Tamandua tetradactyla: one gene and its partner. The protein of the gene in region 2 interacts with the protein of the main gene of each other region in a pairwise test. Links are inferred from orthologs where the notes say so. Each region holds a gene or a part of one and is shown on either strand. Other genes may lie near its edges.

What was found.
Region 1: the proteins of GCC1 (region 2) and CEP57 interact in binary tests that used the Homo sapiens proteins (3 or more experiments, as listed by UniProt). The two-hybrid records come from large-scale screens. The link is inferred for Tamandua tetradactyla from reciprocal best matches to the Homo sapiens genes GCC1 and CEP57.

Annotation. Positions count from the first base shown.
Region 1 is NC_135334.1:47,134,804-47,144,855, forward strand, and holds the start of CEP57 (centrosomal protein of 57 kDa), read right to left. Parts: upstream 4,023-10,052; 5' UTR 3,261-4,022; coding exon 3,216-3,260; exon of another isoform or gene 2,815-3,215; intron 1-2,814. Other genes in the region: protein FAM76B, read left to right, coding at 4,455-4,541, 5,370-5,434, 6,321-6,375, 7,416-7,571, 8,715-8,908. UniProt on the Homo sapiens protein: Centrosomal protein which may be required for microtubule attachment to centrosomes. May act by forming ring-like structures around microtubules. Mediates nuclear translocation and mitogenic activity of the internalized growth factor FGF2, but that of FGF1.
Region 2 is NC_135327.1:168,990,711-169,000,675, forward strand, and holds the start of GCC1 (GRIP and coiled-coil domain-containing protein 1), read right to left. Parts: upstream 3,966-9,965; 5' UTR 3,876-3,965; coding exon 2,844-3,875; intron 2,002-2,843; coding exon 706-2,001; 3' UTR 1-705. Other genes in the region: ARF5 (ADP-ribosylation factor 5), read left to right, coding at 7,467-7,533, 8,071-8,151, 8,516-8,625, 9,091-9,162, 9,636-9,761, 9,887-9,965. UniProt on the Homo sapiens protein: Probably involved in maintaining Golgi structure.

The DNA of each region.
Region 1 (10,052 bases), on a different chromosome or scaffold from region 2:
TAGTATCTCATGGCAATGTCTGCTGGGCTCCAAGCATCTCCAAACATCCGTGTCTCTGTTCTCCACGTGTCTATATCTGTCAGCTCTGCTGTGAAGTTTCTGTCAGCTATGAGGCTTCTGTCATTCTCCAGAATACCTCCTCTTTTAAAGGATTCCAATAAACTAGTCAAGACCCATCTGGGATGGGTGGAGTCACATATCCATCAAATCAAAGGTCACACCCACAATTGGGGGCATCACATCTCTCTGGAAATAATCTAATCAAAAGATTCCCCTAAAGAACTGAATCAGGATTAAAAGAAACAGCTGCTCCAACAAGATTGCATAAGGATTATAACGTGGCTTTTCTGGGGTACGTAATACTTTCAAACCAGCACACCTGGGTTCAAATTCAAGCTCTACCATTTACTAGTTATGTAAGTTTAATGCCAGCTTCATAAGGTAACAACCTTATGTGAAGATTAAATTAACTGATGTATGAAAAATGCTTAACTCTTTGTCTGCCAGTTAATACTATATAAGTATTAGGTATTATTGTAATCTCAAAATTTATGGTAGTGGTTGTGTATGTGTGAAGGAAGATACAAAAAGGGGCATGAAGGTAATCACTTTACTATTCTCTAAAATAAATCATATATATTTTCAATGTTGCTCAAAGTGACATGAGGGCACTGACTGTGGTTATTGGGAAAACAGAGAACCGAAATGAAAGACATTCTTTTGTGTTTCAACTCTATGCTGCCTGAACTTCTAATTTAGCATTAATTCCATCATGTCAATCATAATTGTTTTCCTGCTTTCTCCACTAGAGAGTGATACAGAGTAATCCCTCCATAAATGCTGTTTCTGCTACTCTTATTGCTACTGTTGCAGTAAATAAATACATAGAAAAACCAATTCAAACCTATCACCTACTTTCATGTTGATCATATTTGAAATGTAAGAGATATACAGTTACCCTGTAAAAATCCTTGCCTGGTAAAAGCATCTCCATTTATTATAGCTAGCTCTATCCTGATTTTATCACTTCCAAATACATATGAGTTTTTACTGCTCACAACCCTGAAGTCTGATAGGAGTAATCTGAGTTCACGTTGTAGCGTTATAAGGTCTTTTTTATGCCTTGTCTTAGATTATAATCAGCTGCTAAGCTAAAGTGCTCTTTTTAATACTGCAGGCCATGTTGGAAATGCAGCCTTATTTTAGGCGGACAGAGAAAAAAAATATCTAAGCAGGGCCATCTCTTACGCACGGAGAAATAGGTTAAATTGTGTTGAGATGTAGCTTCAAAATTAGACATTTTGATGTAGCACATCAAGTTAGTTGAGAAGATGGTTATAATTTGATTTGTAAAGGGTCCTAGATATTTTATTGTTCTCAATATTTAGAACCCAGTTAAATCTGAGCTTAGCACATTAAAATATGTCTTCTGTTACACACTCTTTTGGATTTCTGGAGTGCCTATCGTAAGGACTACAGGTTGAGCACATCCCAGCGCCACTACTCATCTTCGGAGTGCAGCTCAATTCCACATTTTAAAGGGTCTTTTCAACCTCAAAGTGCTATTTTAAGAGCACATCTTCTCCCAATTAAGTTTAATTAATCACATCTCATACTGAAAATCTCATCCATTTACAGAGAGACACCTCTTTCTAATTGTCTCATAGTTGTTTTATCTTCCCTTTTACTGACATTAATTTCTGAATAAACTCCAACTGTTTTTTAATCTCTGCTAACCTCTCTGAGGACTTATGATTACCCTCTTTCTGCCGAAACCCTGAAGGTTGCTTCTGGCCTCATTATCCCAAATCCTAAAGACAGCCATAGAAACCTGAAACTGAAGAAAGGCATGACTTCTCAAAGTGAATCTGCTCTTAGCATTCTTTAAACTTTCTCCCCCTTAACTTCTATGCCATTACTTGACCCTGATGTTTTTGGTCTTTTTCTCTCCCAGATTCTATATAAGGACCTTCAAAACCATACTTTTACCTACTTTTCCAATTCATCTCACAACACTACCTCCATATTACCTATGCTTATTCCAAGTTATTTCAAGTTTCCTGAAAGCACCTATTATTTTGGCTCCTATCCCCAAAATGCCTATGGTGCCTTTTTCTTCTTCCTATTCTATTCTTGCAAGAAGCACTTAAAATTCCTTCCCCATTCAACTCCATCTTCTCTTCAAGAAAACCTCATCTGTCTACCCAAACAATACTAGCCACTCTTGCCTAGATTAGTCCGGCATGACAATATTTTTCAAACTGTTCTGTGTAGTAATCATTTAATTATATGTTGTTTCTCTTCAGTGTTTTTCTCCTTCAGAGCAGCAGCTCTATATTCTTCATCTGTGTAATCTCAGCCTAATAATATGCCAGTAACTCACCACTGGCTGAATGAATAGAAAAGTCCTTTAACTTAATAAGCCTTGTCACACTTACTTCCCAACTATTCTCAACGGGACAGTTCCCAAACCACTAAGCATTAGACACTCTAATTCAACCAAGTGACTGAATTGGTGGCCCTTGTGGAGGCGAAAACAATATTTGGAATCATCAACCCATATCTGAAATTTTCAAAAAACGTACGTTTTTAAAACAACACAGAAAAGTACGTGGAAAAGGCATTTAAACGTTGCAGCCCTAATAATATGGTGGGATATGGGAAGCGCGCGCTTCTGGTCTGATCACGGAACAACATTACTGGGAAGACAGGAGGCAGGGAGTCTGCAGGCAAAAGAGTAAGCAAAAACGAGAATGCACGTGATAAACAACGGACTACTCAAAAGCTGTCTATTAAACCGACAAGCGCGCCTACCTGGTCTCCGCCAGTTTCCAAAAAGGGGCCGTTACCGCCACGTGACCAAAGCAGTTACGCTTTCTCAGGCCAGGGAGCCGGTACAGTTTTCCCAGCCGAGTCTAGGCAACATTCGGCAACCTGGACTGCTAGACCCACACGGGGGATGGGGGTGAAGTGGGGCGGGACGGAGGGAGTGGCGGACCAGTCCTGTTTCACTGGAAGCCAGAGGGTGCAGCTTCAACAGAGAAGCAGTGGAAGCAGGGCTAGCATTGGGCGATCTAGGTGCTCCTCCCCCGTGCCCGCTGTTCCTCAAGATGTGATGAGAGGGAGAGCCGAGAGAGCTCTAAAACATGAGGAAAAGGGAAGAGGCACTAAGAAGAACCGATCTGGAGCCTATCCGAACATCAATAGCTTCTTACCGAGAAATGAGAACCAGAAGTCGCAGAAACCGACGCCGCCGCCATTTTTCTCCTGCCCAGCAGGCCTCCGCAGCTCCGGAACGATCTGGGTTCCCGTGCTCTTCTTCAAGATATGTGAGCCGCCCACCAGGGGCGACCGCAAGCCCGGCCCCTGATGGAAGGGGCGAGGGTGCTGGTACCAGGTTTAGAACCCCCTGCCACACACCCCCACCGGGACGCCCAAACTCAGAGCACACGCCGACAGGGCAACACGTCCTGATGGACGGCTTGGATAGCCAATCAAAAAAGCGGACGCCTTCCTGTAGAGAATCCGCCTCTTCCCTCGCTGACGTCACAAGGTAGCGCGTAACTGAGACTGCCAGGAGCCGATAACACTGGGAGCTGCTAGACGGCTTGGGAGGCGACTTTGCAAAGGAAGGAGACTTCTCAAGGAGGAAACGTGGGCCAGGATTTGTGTTGTTGTCTCCGGTGGCAACTGAGTCGAATGATTGAAATAGAGTAAAAATGAATGCGAAGTTCAAACACGCCATCCCTTCTCTTGGGTTAGAAGCCGAAGAGAGCTTGATTTGGGGTGAACTCCTTTTGGCCAATAACAAACCGGACTAGGAGGGGCTTAATGGTTCGGTCCAATAGAAGTCAAATGAAAGAGAGAGGAGGCAGAGACCAAGCCTGTCAAGAACATTTGCCCAATTAGGTTGGGGAGCTCTCACCCAAACCTCGAACCGGCTACTAGAAATAGCTGCGACCCAGGCATAGGGCGGGACTGATTTAAAGCAGATTTCGCGCGCCGAGAACGTCGGGCTGTCATTGGCTAGCAGCTTCCTCCCTTTGTGGGCGCTCCTTGCGTAACCTGGGTGAGGGGTTGGGAGGAGCGACCGAGTGACGCGTAGGCTCCGTGACCAATCGGGGACGCGGAACGGAGGCCGAGAAGGAAGCGGATCGCGTCGCGCAGCTAAATCTTATCGAACTACCGCTTCGTCTCCCTCCGCCGCTACCGGGGCGTAAGCGGGAGAGGCTGGGACAGTCTTGCTTGGTGGGCTGGAGCGGAAGTGGAGGCGGAGGGAGACGGCAGCGTTGCCACAGGGGCCGGGGGACTCTCCGGAAGAGGCCCTGGTGGGCGCGAGGCAGGGGGAGGGGGGAGGAGGAGGAGCCCGTGGCCCGGGCGGCGGCGGTACCAGAGTCCGCCGTAGGGCTCCGCCTCGCAGCGGGCGGCGGTGGAGGAGGAGACTGAGGAGCAGGATGGCGGCGTCGGCCCTGTACGCCTGCACCAAGTGTACCCAGCGCTATCCCTTCGAGGAGCTTTCCCAGGGGCAGCAGCTTTGCAAGGTCTGTGGGCGCCGGGCAGCGGGCGGGCGGGGTTCCCTCGACCGCAATCCAGGGGAGCTGGGTGACTGGTGCACTGCAGCCCCGCGCTCTTCGGCGCTTTTGGGATTTAGGGGTCTGGAGCCTTCGCCTCCCACCCGGGATCCCTTTATCCGAGGGCCTGTACATCAGTCGAGAAGGACCCCTGAGAAAGAGCGACAGAATTCTACCTTCGTCCAGGAGGCCCAAGAGGGGCCGAGCCCCAGCAGCGTTTGGGGGTCTTAGGGGTGGGGCTGAGTAAGGCAGCCACCTGTCTATGCCGCAGAGACCCTGGGATGGAGATGTTTTCATCTCAATGTTCTGCCTGGTCTGTCTTCTCCTTCCACCAGGAGGCAGGGGACAGTTTTTGCACTTTCTTGCTAGGAATCCGAAGCCGCAAAGCTGATGGCATCCTTCTTCCCTGTCCAGGAAAGCGAAGCGACTGGCTTGGGAACAGAATGCTCTATGATTTGGAGCTCCTTCCATCCCATTAAAGCCAGGATGCTGTCTGTGAGCAACGGTGCAAAATAAGTAGTTTCACATTTGATCAGTTCTTGAAACAGGCCCTGACAGCTTTCTTAATTTATCTGTAACATACTCCCACATCTAATACAGACAAAGACGCCTATGCCTTCCCTAAGGAATTATATTGTAATTTGCCATTTATATGATTAATCCCCCAATTGGTTACATTAGTAGATAGGTTTTATTGATGATTGAGACATTTGACTAGGCCGGGTAATAGTTTTCTACCACAAAAGTGAGATTTGGGACGTTGAGATAGATGTTGACTAACGTGTTGTTTTATTACAGGAATGTCGAATTGCACATCCAATTGTAAAATGTACTTACTGCAGATCAGAATTTCAACAAGAGAGGTTTGTATATTTGTACAGTTTTTGATTGTTAAAGACAAAGCATTCTCTCTGAGGAATACTTGGGATATGGTAATTTTGCATGTAATAAATATTTTTAAGGGGTATAGCTTCTTAAATTTTATGTTGTAAACCTTTTATACATGGTGGGAGAGAGAATGTTGGCTAAAACAGTGGTTATTTTACAATTAGACTTCAGTTTACACAAAAGCAAATAAGGAATAAATTATTGCATTGAAAAATATACAGCTTTGCTATGAAGATGCAAATTTAAACAGTTTTTATAAGCTATTAAGAAAATGGTTAAACATTAGTTCTGACATGGATCTGAAGAAAGATCTGTAGCGTTAACCAGTACCTTCCTTCCAAGAGTGGAATCTAGTTACTTATTACCAGTAGAAGGACAGCAAATGCTTTTTAAGAGGGCAATTCCACTTTGAGAACACACAGAAGAAAATAGCTGAAAAGAAGAATAAATAATTTCTCCATAAGGTGTGGATATCATAATAGTGGAGAATGGCCCAGTGGAAAGCTAGGAAGGCACTGATATGTAATGCTGTGCAGTAATACTCTGTAGTGATGGCAGAAGTGAAGATTTTGGAACTAGATAGGAGGTGTTAGGATTTTTGTTTCATTTCTTTTACAAAAAATACATAATTAAAAAAGTCTAAATACATCTTCAGTAGTTTGGAGAGAAGTAACTTGGGTTATTACTGTCCTAAAAAGATCCTTATATTTGTATTAAAAGGAAAACTACTTAGCTACATTAAAGTAATTCATTTCTGTTGCTACAGATCTTTTACTCTTCCACTTGCTTTAGTTGAACATTTTGCTAATCACCTCAGAAAGCTGCATACCTTTGATCGTTTATATGTAATTTCCTTTTCAGCAAAACTAACACAATTTGTAAGAAGTGTGCTCAAAATGTGAAACAATTTGGAACAGTAAGTATGTCTTATGTGTTTATTCCATGCTATTATTACTGGTCAATGTTTTTCACATTGATCTGCCTTTAAAAAAAATGGGTATCGTTATTTTCTTAAACATTTTGGCATATCAAAATATTTCATGAAAGATTTTCTGTAGGTAGCCTGATGAGATAAAAACTTTAAAATAATGAAATTATTACATGGCTTATGTAAAATTTCAGTATGAAATTTCTGAAGGTATTTTTCCTTTAAAGATTCAAATATAGCAAATTCATGGTTATGGAGAATCTAATTATCCATAAAGCTTGCATAAAAGATTTTTCCACCTCTTCATAACCTTAAACTATTTTTATGCAATTCAGATATCACAATAGTCACACTGCCCTAGTATAAATCCTATCCTAGGTCTGCATGTACATTACAATGATCACTGGTTAAATGTTGGGCTTAAGACTCTAAAATCCTGAATTATCTTTTGACTATCAAAGAAAATGTTGGGCTTAAGACTCTAAAATCCTCAATTATCTTTTGAATATCAAAGAATATCAAGGTATATTTGCTATGGATTGTGCTTCAAATTTATCAAATGTGCTCTGCATCATCTTTGTGTGAATTGAAAATTCACTTACAACATGTGTATTGCATCTGGTGAAAAGCTAATACATTTTTAAATAAGTGATATGATAATTAAGCTAACCAAGATATTAAATTAGAAGCAGTTCATTCCCCCAAAACCTTTCATATTTTGAGACCTTTTTTCATGTATAGTTTTTGTATAAGAGACATACAAATCATTAATACATTTCTCATCTTATTTAAATATCCCAAGAGTAGCAGTGAGTTTCATGTCCCTCAAAATAAATATTAGTTGAATGGATAGAAACATGAAAAATGTCATTGAATATGACAGGGCAGCATACTTGACAGAAAACAGATTTTTTCCTATTAGTTTTCTTAATCCTAGAAATACATCTATAACGTTATGTTTGTTTTATGTAGAAATTTACAGTTTTTTTTAAGTGTATCAATTAAAGCAGTGCATATCTCTTTTTCAGCCCAAACCTTGTCAGTACTGTAACATAATTGCAGCATTTATTGGCACCAAGTGTCAACGTTGTACAAATTCAGAAAAAAAATATGGACCACCTCAGACCTGTGAACAGTGCAAACAGCAGTGTGCTTTTGATCGGAAGGAGGAAGGAAGAAGAAAGGTATGTTTTATTTATGGTAAGACATCTTCTAGAAATTAAATAAAATACCAAACAGGTTGGAAGTTATAATTAATATATTACTGAGACATATCTGTCCTTTAGGTCCCTGAAAGCATGTGGTAGATGAAAGTGCGGGAGGAGTGAGTTTTCTCCTTGTTTGTATAATAAGTTGATTCATGTTGGTCAATTGAAATTACTGTACATCAAAAATTATTCTGTACTGGTGTTTTATTCCCCATTGGGTTTGAGAGAATTGCTAACTGCTATTAAATCAACTCTTTGAGCTACTCAGCCTTTTGCTGTTTGCTTGATGTTGCTGCTGTGAAAAACTACTTGATGGCACATTAGCACATGTAATTCAAATTTATTCCTGTGCCTTTTGATTCAGGCCTCATATTTGAAACCATTGTTCATTTTTCTTTGCCTACAGTGACTTAATAAGCATGTGTGTACACGTTATGCACGTGGCATGCCTTGCTGATCAGCAGCCACACAAGCCTCCTGTTGTTTCTCAGTTTCAGTTAATATGGAGGCTGTCTTGTTGATGGGCTTCCCCGGTCTCCCCAAAGCAATGTAGACATTGTACCCAAGTTGTACAACATGTTCCTCCAGCATTCCTTGTGTTAACAGACAGAAAACAAATACCTAATTTTATTTGTATAGGTTTAGTCTTAATAATTTTAGAAAGAAGTCTCCCTTCCCCCTGGCATACATGTAAATCATTGAGGCTCTCCTTTTTTTCTAATAATTCACAGTTTTTCAGTAGAGTGAAATATGTTATTGTTTTAGTAATTATACAGTAATTTAGGAATTCTGGTTAAATTAGGTTTGTGCTTAGGTAAGATTCTTTTGAGGGATATTATCAATTTGTGCTTATTTTCCTGTAGTAGAAAAGGTAATATGTTTCTCTCTTCAAATTAATAATACATAAAACTAATGGAAAGTCCAAATACCATCCTCATCAATTTTATGACTCTGCAAACAAGCATTTTCCCAAGTTTCAAAAAAGTTTAATTTTACTTCTATTTTGCAAAGTCTGTGTGTGTTTGAGTGAAATAGAGCTGTTGAGCAGTTTATCTTACCTAATTTTATTTAGAATCAGCTTATGGTACTTTTAATCTAATCGAAACATTTTCTTAAAAGGTTGATGGAAAGTTATTATGCTGGCTGTGTACTTTATCATACAAAAGAGTTTTACAAAAGACAAAGGAACAAAGGAAGAGCCTGGGATCATCACATTCAAATTCATCTTCTTCATCTCTTACTGAAAAAGACCAGCATCATTCAAAACATCATCACCATCACCATCACCATCGTCACAGCAGTAGCCATCACAAGTAAGTACTTTGAAATCATATTTTCTAAAATCTTCCCTGGCGTTTTAATGCCATATGTCCATGTTTAACTTCTTATACATACTGGCTGTGTTGCTAATCCAGTTTCCATTATGCATGAAAAGCTTCTTGAGTGTATAAGATTGTTTTACCATTTTATTCAGTGTATAAAATTACATACATGGAGTGAGTTTGGCAATTTACCATCATAACAAAAGATAGGACATTGAGGATATTACTAATTAAGATTATGATCATATTTTGAAATTAAAAGACAGATATATCCATTAATAACACTTCATTAATTTGCATCATCAGAAGCCTCAATATTCTTTGTTCAAAGAATTTTACAAGTTAGGATTTTACTTGTAAAAATTGTATTTATCTTGGTTATCATTAATTTGTTTTATTAAAAACAAATATATAGAGAAATACATATATATGAAAACCAGAGACAAAGAAATATACATTGTCTCTTTGAATAACAGATTACAACACTATCTTTTGTGACCATCGTTGAGCCATTCTAAATCTTGAAAGTCCCCAGAGTATGAGAAATAATATTTTTAATTAGTGGTACTTTCTAAAACACATAGGTAAGAACCCTATTCAAATATAGACAACTTTTTTGTTCTTAACGTACTTTGAGGGAAAAAAAAGGTATATAATAATGGTTCTTAACTTTTTATGTTTATAGTATAAAAGGGTTTTTCAAAAACATTTTAGACTTCATGGAAAAATCAAGAACAAAACACGCAGATTTAATTGGGGAAAAAGGAACATTAAATATACCCATTTTCAGAATAATTCACTCTTTTTTCCTAAATTTCTCTATCTTTAAAGTTCTGGATAGTTATTTAAAATGTAGTTCCAAATAACTTTAGTTTGAAATGTTAGTGATCAATGAAAGGGAGGGGTAAGGGGTATGGTATGTATAATCTTTCTTTTTGTTTTTTTCATTAAAAAAAAATGTGCTAAATGCAAGAAACCAGACACAAAAAACTACATATGGTTTGATTCCATTTGTATAAAATGTAAATATAAATAACTATAGACAATTAGATTGGTGGTTATGTACGACTGGGAAGGATAGAGGGATTGAGAGGTGACTGCTAAGGGGTATGGGGTTTTTCTTTTTGGAGTATTA
Region 2 (9,965 bases):
TAGCTAGGCCCAAGCAAGTCACTCAGAAACTTTCTTAAAGTCAAAATGGTACTCAGGGCCCTCTCTAGGATGGTTATAAATGGCATGTTTTGTCTAGATCTTTTGGGTCACACCCTGGCCCTAACTAAAACAAACTTCCTGGTTCCAAGAACTCACTATTCCTTGACCCTTTGGACAAGTGGACAATCTGTCACTATTTCAAGCTTCCTAGCCCTTTCCAGCCTGGATTTATGTCCCCAGAAAATAGGAGCAGCATTGGACCAGACTCAGACTGTGATGGAGTAAATGGTCATTGTACATCTCAGGGCATGTTGAAAAATTAGTTAACTGAACTCCCTTCGGAGACACATTTACTCCTAGCTCTAAGCAAGAAGCATAATATTAAAACAACAAAAAAATCTTATTTTAAGAGATTCTCACCACTTCCTCAACTTCTGCACCTCAGTTTTAACCTCTTCCCCCTCACAATCCAAGACACACACGTACATGCCACCAGAAGATGTTATCCCAACACTTTCAGTATCCTTAGGGCCCAGATGCATTGATGGCATGTGGCAGAAAATCCCATCCCACAGTGAAGATTCCTCCCAGTTCAACACAGTGAAGAAATAAACAAAAACAGAAGAGGCAGAGGCAGTAGAAACCATAGTCTGCCCCTTCCCACACGAAGAGGCACAGAAGTCTCAGAAGTCAGTGAAAATGGCATCATCTCTTGCCAGAAGGCCACCAGCTACCACTGGCTGGGAGCCGCATTATCACTTGTTTCTCCTCTGGACTGAAGTGCAAGATAGTCAGAATGGCTGTGAGCGTCTGCTGGCGGCCCAGCATGTCAGGCAAGGTCAGAAAACGGTAGATGATGTTTTTGAGGTACTCCAGGTTGGCTCCCTCCCTACTCTGGTCCCTGATGTTCTTTTCAATGTGGCTCTGCAGGGCTCCAACCTCCTCACGATGCCGCTCCCCCTCCTCCAGCAGCCGATCCTGCAGCTGATGCACCTCTACCTCCAGCCTGTGCTTCTGTTTCCTGAGTGATGTGATCTCCACCTCTTTGCGGGCCAACTGCTCAGCATACAGGAAGAACGTGGGCTCGTTGGCCGCAGCAAGTTGCAGTGCTTGGGTCAGGCTATCCGAGGCAGATGTGTCAGCTGGGTCTCCAAGACCCCCACTACCCACAGGGCTTCTGCGTCCCGGCAGCCCAGAGGAAAAAGCCACAGAGCGCAGTTGCTCCAGCTCCAAATCCTTCTCCGCCAGGACAGTCAGGGCACGGTCCCGCTGCTTGTGCAGCTCCTCCTCCAGCTTCAGTGTGCGGTCCCTGAAGTCCAGCTGGCTCCGCTCCAGCTCCTGCCGGTGGAGCTGCTGCAGCCGGGACAGCTCCTGCTTCTGAGCCTCAGCCTCCTGTTGGTGCTGCCGCTCGAGTTCCTCACAGGATAGCCGCAGGGAGATATACTTCTCCTTTAGCTCTGCAAGCTGTTCCTGGGCTTCCTCCAGCTCCTTTGCCACGTTACCATCTTTGGTGCTCTTGTTCTTGAGGACGACCTGGGCCCTCATCTTGTACCTCTCAAACTCTTCCTTCAGCTGTTTCAGCTCCTGCTGATAGTAGAGCGCAGTAGCCTTCTCCCCATCAGCCGCCTCCGAGCTAGGCATTATCTCTAGGTCGCAGAGCTTCTCCACATCCAGGGTCATCTGGCTTTTCCTGGCTGCGACCTGCAGTAGCCTCTTTAGCTTCTCCATCTTATCCTTCAGGACATTGACATCCAAACTGGACTCCTCTCCATGGCTGTCTAGAGGGGATCTGCTGGAGGCAGCTAGAGCCAGAGTCCTGTTCTCCATGTCCAGCTGCAGCATGCGCTCCTTCAACTTCTGGATGGCCAGCTGGTCCTTCTGTTTGGCTTTCTCATAGGTACCAAGCAGTTCAGACACCTCAGATATTTGGTTCTCCAGGGCCGCCACCCTCTGCTCTTCCATCTGAGATTGCTGGCGGAGTTGATCCTCTACAAGGGCTGTCTGCAAAACAAGGGGACATGTTGTATTGAGAAAAGCCACAAAGACCTGTGGCAAATTTTGAGAAAGCAAGAGAGAGAGCAAAATGGGTCACAGGATGGGGTGGCCTGGCAAGAATGAGAACAAAGGATTTTTCTGCAGATTAGAGTGCTAACAAAAGTTCCTATGGCTTACTTGTTCTGTTCCCAGATACATATCATACCAAACAATATTAAGCACCTTTGTATATTTGGTGCTGTTCTGCTTTAATGCTCCCATTTTCCTCCCATCATACACTTAGCTCACATATAAAGTGCATTCCTGATGCTTATTATGTACACTCCCAAATCCTATTAAGAAATCATGTTTTTCCCTCTTCCAGTATTCCTAGAAATTTAAAACTGAGTTGGATCTTTCCATACTGTAAAGATGCACTGTGAAATAGCACAACTTTCCAGAACAGACAATCCTAGACTGAAAGCAATTACAAAAGATTGTTTCTTCTGAGAAAACTTATTTATTCCCCCATGAGTCCTCCATACACTATATTTCACTGAACAGTTGCCACTATACTGCTTCCCGGAGCACAGCTGACAAGATGCCAATAGCCAGAAGCTCAAAGCTGCCTGGCTCCCATACGGCCTACACTTAGAAATGTCATGTTCTATTGGAAGCTGGACACTAACAGTGGATACTGTCAACATCATACAGAACAGGATTTCCCAGAATTACCTAGTCAAACTTTACAGATAGTATCAAAAATGCCAGTGGAGCCACTTGGATCTAAAATTACAAATTACTAATGGAGGAAAAACCCTAATATTTTCCACTTCAGATTAATGACAAATGTATGAAGGGATAATTACCTTCCTCATTTCCTGCTGCAACTGAGCTTGGAAATGATTCTTTAAGCAAGCAGCCTCTTCCTGAAGCTCCTGCACCCGAGAGTCAGGTCGATTCTTCTCATCCCGAAGAGCCTGCAGTTCACCCTTCAGCATCTCCACTTCACGGCTCAGCTGCTTGGTCTGCAGTTCAAATCCTTCTATCTGATCAGCTGCATATGCTCGCCCCACCAGGGCTTCTCGGGTCTCTTCCAACCGGAGCTCCAAATCCTGGCGCTGGGTCCTTTCTTCCTGCAGCAGTTTCTGGAGCTCACGCAGCATCAAGGCATGGTCACTCTGCTCTTGGGCCCTATCATGCTGCTGCGAGATAAGTCGGGCTTTGGTTTCTGCTATCTGCTCCTGCAGCCCCTTCAATTCCCCCTCCAGAAGGCCCCTCTCCTCCTCTGCCTTTTTATTGGCATCCTCTAAGTCCTGTTTCATCTTCTTCTTGTCGGCCAGGTAAGAAGCCTCCATGCGAGACTTCTCCTGGGTGACTGTAGCCAAAGAGCTGGTCAAAGTAGCCAACTGAGTCTTGAGCTGGTGCAGTCGTTTGTCCACTTCCCCACCCGCAGAAGGTCCATCTCCACTGCTACTGCTAACGCCACTCTCCGACCCACTGGCCTCTTCGGACTTTGCAGGTGGCAGTCCACGGGCCGGTTTGTCATCTTCTACCCCAAGCTCACCCTTGGTACTGGTGAGACTGGCCGCAGTATCCAAGCTGGCGGCAGTCCCAGTGCTATCACCACTATGAGTGGAGCACCGGTCATCAACAGAGTCAGGAAAGGTGAGGCCTGGAGGTTGGACACCGGTGAGACCCAAATCCGCCTCGTGGGACACCGACAGCACTTTAATGCTGGCCTCTAGAGCCTCCTTCTCCTTCAGGAGGCTTTTATAAGCGCGGACAACATCCTTGAGCCGTGCCTGGTACTGGAGAAGCTGCTTTTTCTGCGACTCTATGGTATCCAACAGGTCTTTCTTGCTCGGACCGCCTCCAAAACTCATCCCAAACTTCTCCATGAGCGTGCTGGGCGGGCTGCTCCACGTCAGCGTTAGGCAGCTCGGGAGAGACCCGCGGAGACACGGGCGGGGACTTACTATAAGGCACAGGGAGAGAGTTGTCCGATTGCGGGGCGCACACCTGCTTCTTCCAGCTGTCGGGTACCGGATGCGGCGGCGGAGCAAGTTGGCAGGGGCGCCCGCGGTGTGCCAGGCCCGGCGGATGGGAGCGGGTCCTAGCCTCGACGCGCGCACGAGAGAACCGCAACCCCAGCACTTTCCGCACTGACCACTTCGCGCTCCCTTCTCACACAGCCCACAGCAGCTCGGGCCGCCCCCACTACCCTTGGCCCAGGCTCGGCCAAGGGCTTATACCGAGGGCTGTCGCATCACCGCTTACTATTACGGAGGCCCGCGACAATGGCGCTTTCGGGTCCGCTGGAAGTGACGACAGGACGCCGTCCGGGCTCCGCCCAGAGTGGGCGCGAGGTAGGCGTGGCTACTTCAAACTGTGGCTGAGGCAGTTGCCGGCTGAGAGCTCGGTGGGTTTACCGGTAGAGGAACCGTCTTGGGAAGAACGGAGTAAGCAAAGTCGAGGACACTGGGTGGTTTAATCTGGTGACGTCAGGGCGCCTGAAGTTGCCCTTCGGGCTCGATCAGAGAGCTTCAGGGGGCGATGTCGCCCTGCATTCCTGCCGAACACTCCAGGTGGGCGAAGCGTCCCTACTATTTGGGGCCCAGTAAGTATGCCCCTAAAGTGCCATAGAGTCCCTTTTTTACCATGGAAACTGCAGCTGTTTCTGGCTCAGTGCTTGCTTGGCACCTAATAGGCATATAATATAATAATTGTTAGCACTCTTCGTGAGTCGATTCAATAAATATTTATAGAGAGCACTTCGTATCGACCAAATGTATGCCAGTAACTTCACAAGAGTTTGCTACCGAGTCTTTGCAATAATTCTACTCAGTAACATTAATACAGTTTTACAGATATGAAAACATGAGGCACAGACAGGGTAAGTAACATGGCCAAGCTAGTAAGTTTAGGAATCCTAACCAGATCAGCCTGACACTGCATATTAGATGATGTGCCAGATGATAATACTGTGAAGGGACATGGCCCTGTCCTCAAGGAGCTCACAATCTAGTGAGGAACTGATATGCAAACACAAATCCTGCTATCATACCAGTATTGATGGATATTTTCAAAGTGGTACGGAACTTAAGACAGGAATAGGCAGAGAAGACTCTTGGGGAAAATACATTGGTTTTGGAAGATGAGAAACAGCTGCCCATCTAACTAGAAATGAAGGAAACCAGCATTCCCGGCAGAATGAAAAGATCACAAGAGGCATCTGAAAGCCTGGCTCATCCAGAAAGCATTAAGAATCACATCAAGACAGTAGCTTTGGGTATGTGAAGTAGGTGACAACAGATGGGAAGGCACAACAGGTGGGAACCCAATTAAGGCACTTCGATTTTATCTTGGGTGATAGGAAGATACCAAAGATTTTCATCTCAAGGGTAGTACCATCAGGACTACTATAGCAGGGTAAGATATCAGGAGCAGGAGTCAGGTGAGAAGGCTCAATTATAGGGAAGAGTTTTAGTAAAATAGGACAGTGACAACTGGGATGGAAAGAAAGGGGATGATTAAAGAGCCAAAGATGTAGAACTGACCTAACTTGGTGGCCACTAGCTGTGTTATTATATGGGTACTTTTTTTTATGCTAATGCAATTTATTATTATTTTTTGGATGCTAATGCAATTTATTTGCTTGCTTAACTGCAAGCTGCCAACGCAGGTAGTACCCAATAACTGGGTCAGGGGCATACAACACATTTAAAGATGGAGGATTCCTGAGTCTCTAAAGTCCAGCAGCCCAAGAGCCAATACAAGGAAGGCAAATAGCTTTAAGGAGAGGCCTCAGGAGCCTGTCTGACACAGTATCAGTAGAGGTCCAAAGCCGAGAAGGAGGTGAGGACAGCCGCAAACAAGCAGCACAGCACAGACATTGGAGGCAAGTGACTGAGCGAGCCTGCCTCTTATATTGGTACTTTTTAAATGTACTTTTTTTTTTTTTACCTGGTATGAGCCTTCCTAAGAATGGAATATATGACTGAAGAGCAAAGGAAAACCATGCACTTGTGCACACCTTGTTCCCAAAGTCTGTTCTCATTCCACTTTGCAGACCATGATGGGGCAGGCCCTAGAAGTGTGCTTCATTCCAGTTTCTTTGTGGCCCAGTAAAATCTAGCTGCCTAACACAAAACATTCAGATACAATTATCCCATTTACCATAATCTCCTGAGATAAATATGGCAGACATTGTCCTTTTATAGATGAGAAAACCACAGAATTGTGAGGGTTGTTTAAGCCAAACTCTCAAAAAAATGGCAGAACAGATTTAAACTAAGACTTGGAATGGTGCTGGCACATGGGAATACTCAATAAATATTTGTTGAGTAAATGAATGAATGAAGATTTTCTGATTCCCAACCTAGTCCATAAGCAGTTGATCCTAGAAGCCCACTGGGACTCCAGAATAAATATAATGTCTGTACTTGCTCCACTGAGCTCCCTATCAGTCCAGTTTAACCCAACAAGTATTTGCTAAGCATAATTTAGGTGCCTGGGTACTGATCCCAGTCTCTAGAAATTTAGGTTCTTTCCTATCTTGCTTTTCCTCTCAGATGCTAAGAGGGGAAGATTGTTTGTGAAGTTCTTTGGGTCTAGGGAGGCAAGAAGCCCATAAATCCTGGACAGGTGTGCATTAATCCAGGTTCCCATGTTCGTGGCAAAATGGAGAAAGGAACTTCAGAAAAGCTGCGTGGCCCCAGATTGAAAGGCAGTGTTCCCAGGGCATTATGGCGAAGGCAGAGTTCTCCAGCACTCTAGGGGTGGGTCTGCGACCATGCAGCCGAGAGCTACTGCTTGAAGAGCTATAAACCAGGCGTTTTAAAGAACCATGAAAGCTATCACCAGGGCATCTTCCCTCATCTCTGGCTCACTCCTCACCTGATTCTGCAGTCCCTTTATCACCTACGCATAAAGCGCCTCATTAGGAGCTGAGGAGGCAAAAGGGAGGAGTAAGAACGGAGTTTCCGCTCTCCTAAGGTGGGTGGTGCACGCAGTAGGTGCAGCTACCTTCCAAGGGCTGTAGCAGAGCCCAGAGTGGGCTGGACGCAATAGAACCAAAGTCCCAGCGGCGGGCCACTGAAGACGGGGACAGGGGGCTGCTTGGAAAGTTGAAGGCTTTCCTCAGCCCCGATCGGGCTGCTATATGAGCAGCCACAAACCTGAAAGGCGAGCTAGAAACTGCAGAGGCCTAGACCCTTTCCTTCTTCAAAGCCCGTGGAGGATTCAGCGAAGGTGCGGAGACTCAGCTTCAACTTCTCCAGGAGAGGGCTGGGGGGCGGAGCTGGGGGCGGAGCTGGGGGCCCGCGGTGACGTAGGGCGGGCCAGGACGCGCGGAGGAGGCGGCGGCGGCGGAGCCTCCTGCTGCTGGTGCTGGTGCTGCTGCTAGTGCTGCTGCGCCGGGTTCCCCCGCGGCCGGCGGCCTCCAGCCCGCACCCGGCGTCCGTGCCCGCACCCCTCCCCCGGGCCCCGCCATGGGCCTCACAGTGTCCGCGCTCTTTTCGCGGATCTTCGGGAAGAAGCAGATGCGGATCCTCATGGGTGAGGCAGACCAAGCGCGCGGCCCGGACCCGGGCGCCGGCCCCCGCGCAGCCCTCCCGCCCCCGCGCCCCTCCAGCCGGGCTCACCCGGATCTCTGGCCCCGCTGCACCCACCTCCTAAGCCCCCAGGACCGGCGCTGCTCTCGGGTGGGTCCGGTCTGCAGCGCCGCCCCTGAGGCCTGAGACCGGGAGCGGCGGGCCTGGGTGGGGTGAAGCGCCCTCCGCCCCGGCCCGGCTGGTAAGAAGGGAAGATTCCGCCCTTGGGGACGCCTTTTAGAGGAGCGCGGCCCTCCTCCGGTGTCCCTTACTCCCGCAAACCCCAACCCCAGTTTTCTCCCTTCTTGCCCAGTTTGGGGGCAGGAGTTGGCGCACATCATCCTGACTGCCCTCAGGCCCCTGGGGTAGATAACAGCGCGCACCTGGACGCGCTCCGGCTCTCCGCCCCCGTCACCACCCGCAGTCCTGACCTCTCCCCTTCCCTGGTCTCTAGGGGGCTCCCTCATTCCCGTTTCCATCTCTCTGCCCCTCTCCGTTGTAGTTGGCTTGGATGCAGCTGGCAAGACCACAATCCTGTACAAACTGAAATTGGGGGAGATTGTCACCACCATCCCCACCATAGGTGAGCCGGGGAGCGGGAGCACCACCGCGATCCTTCTCGGGGTCTGCTCCCTGTTCTGCCTGAGGCCCTTATCTCTCTCCCCGGAGCTGACCCTGACACCAGATACGGCTACTTGAGAAGTGGGTCTGGATGTCTCTCTACTTGCGGGGTGGGGGGGTGGGGGGGTGGGGGGGGCGGGAATACTGCGGGAGGCGGGGTGAATGTGAACTAGCCCCGCCCCAGCTGTTGACTGCCGGTTCTCTGGGGTTCTTTTCCCCTGTTCTTGATCACTGCCCTCTGGTTTTGTGTCCCTGCTGAGATCCAAGTAGTTTTAGTGAGTCCTTCTTTACAAGACTTTTTTCCATATTTTTCCAATTATCTGTAGGCTTCAATGTGGAAACAGTGGAATATAAGAACATTTGTTTCACGGTCTGGGACGTGGGAGGCCAGGACAAGATTCGACCTCTGTGGCGGCACTATTTCCAGAACACTCAGGTAGGAGCTTGGGAACCCCAGGGAAGAGAAAGTAGGGCTAGGACTGAGAAGGTAGCCTAGCTGGGTCCCCAGGCCAGGTTAAAAAGAAAAAAACCTTTCTTCCTCTTCCCCCTTTTCTTGGCTGGCCTCTACTCATCCTTCTGAGACTTCATCCTCTTAGGCTTCTGAGAAACAGAGCCCTGGGTCCACGCTGCCTGACTGAGCTCGCATCACCATAGCTTTATTGTCTGTTCCCTTGAACACCTTTTAGCTAGACCACTCACTCCTTGAGAACAGAGGCTGCATCCTTTGCTGTGGTGTCTCCAGCTTGTGCTAGGATTTCTGCAGGGCCTTGGTGAAAGCTTGCTAGACAAGAGGGATTTAGGCCCAATTAAAGAAGGGAAGATGAGAGAGAGGAGCAGACTAGAGCATGTTCCAGTTGGGGATGATCGTTCGTTCCTTTTTCCTTTCTTGCTTCCCATCCAGGGCCTCATCTTCGTGGTGGACAGTAATGACCGGGAGCGGGTCCAAGAATCTGCCGATGAACTCCAGAAGATGGTGAGCACCTGGAGCCCTGGAAACTGAGCCCTCCACGTAGGGGACAAAGAGATCTTGGGGCTAGCGTAGATGTTTCTCACAGACCTCGAGAGCTAAGAATGTACGTGTTTCTTTGTGGACACATTATGTATCTCACCCTGTTTTCAGTTTTGGTAAAAAAGCACAGGACTGATTTTTTTCCTTGAATTCTTACCTTCATGTCCGACTGTGGGAAGTTGGGTGGGAGAGGGGGTTTACATGGTGGAGAGAAACATCATCTGACGTTTTGGTTTTCCCATTTGGAAATGTGGTCATTTTGACTAGGGCATGTACTCAAATTAGAAAAATGCTATTCCTAGTCTTAAGACCTAGGGAGTCTCAAGCTCAATTATAATCCTAGAAGGTAGAATGGGGGACTCCCAGCATAGCAGGGAGAAGGGACTCTGGAGACACTGATGGAACCTCAGATCCTGCCACCTCTTCTACCCTCTTAGCTGCAGGAGGATGAGCTGCGGGATGCGGTGCTGCTGGTATTTGCCAACAAGCAAGACATGCCCAACGCCATGCCTGTGAGCGAGCTGACCGACAAGCTGGGACTACAGCACTTACGCAGCCGCACAGTGAGGGTCCCACCCCACCCACTGGATCCTGCCTCCCCAGGGGAGCCACACAGGCTGGGGCAAAGATGTAAAGGCATCCACTTTCCTTCCCTGCTGTTGACCTCTTCCTTTCCTTCTCCCCACAGTGGTATGTCCAGGCCACCTGTGCCACCCAAGGCACAGGCCTGTACGATGGGCTGGACTGGCTGTCCCATGAGCTGTCGA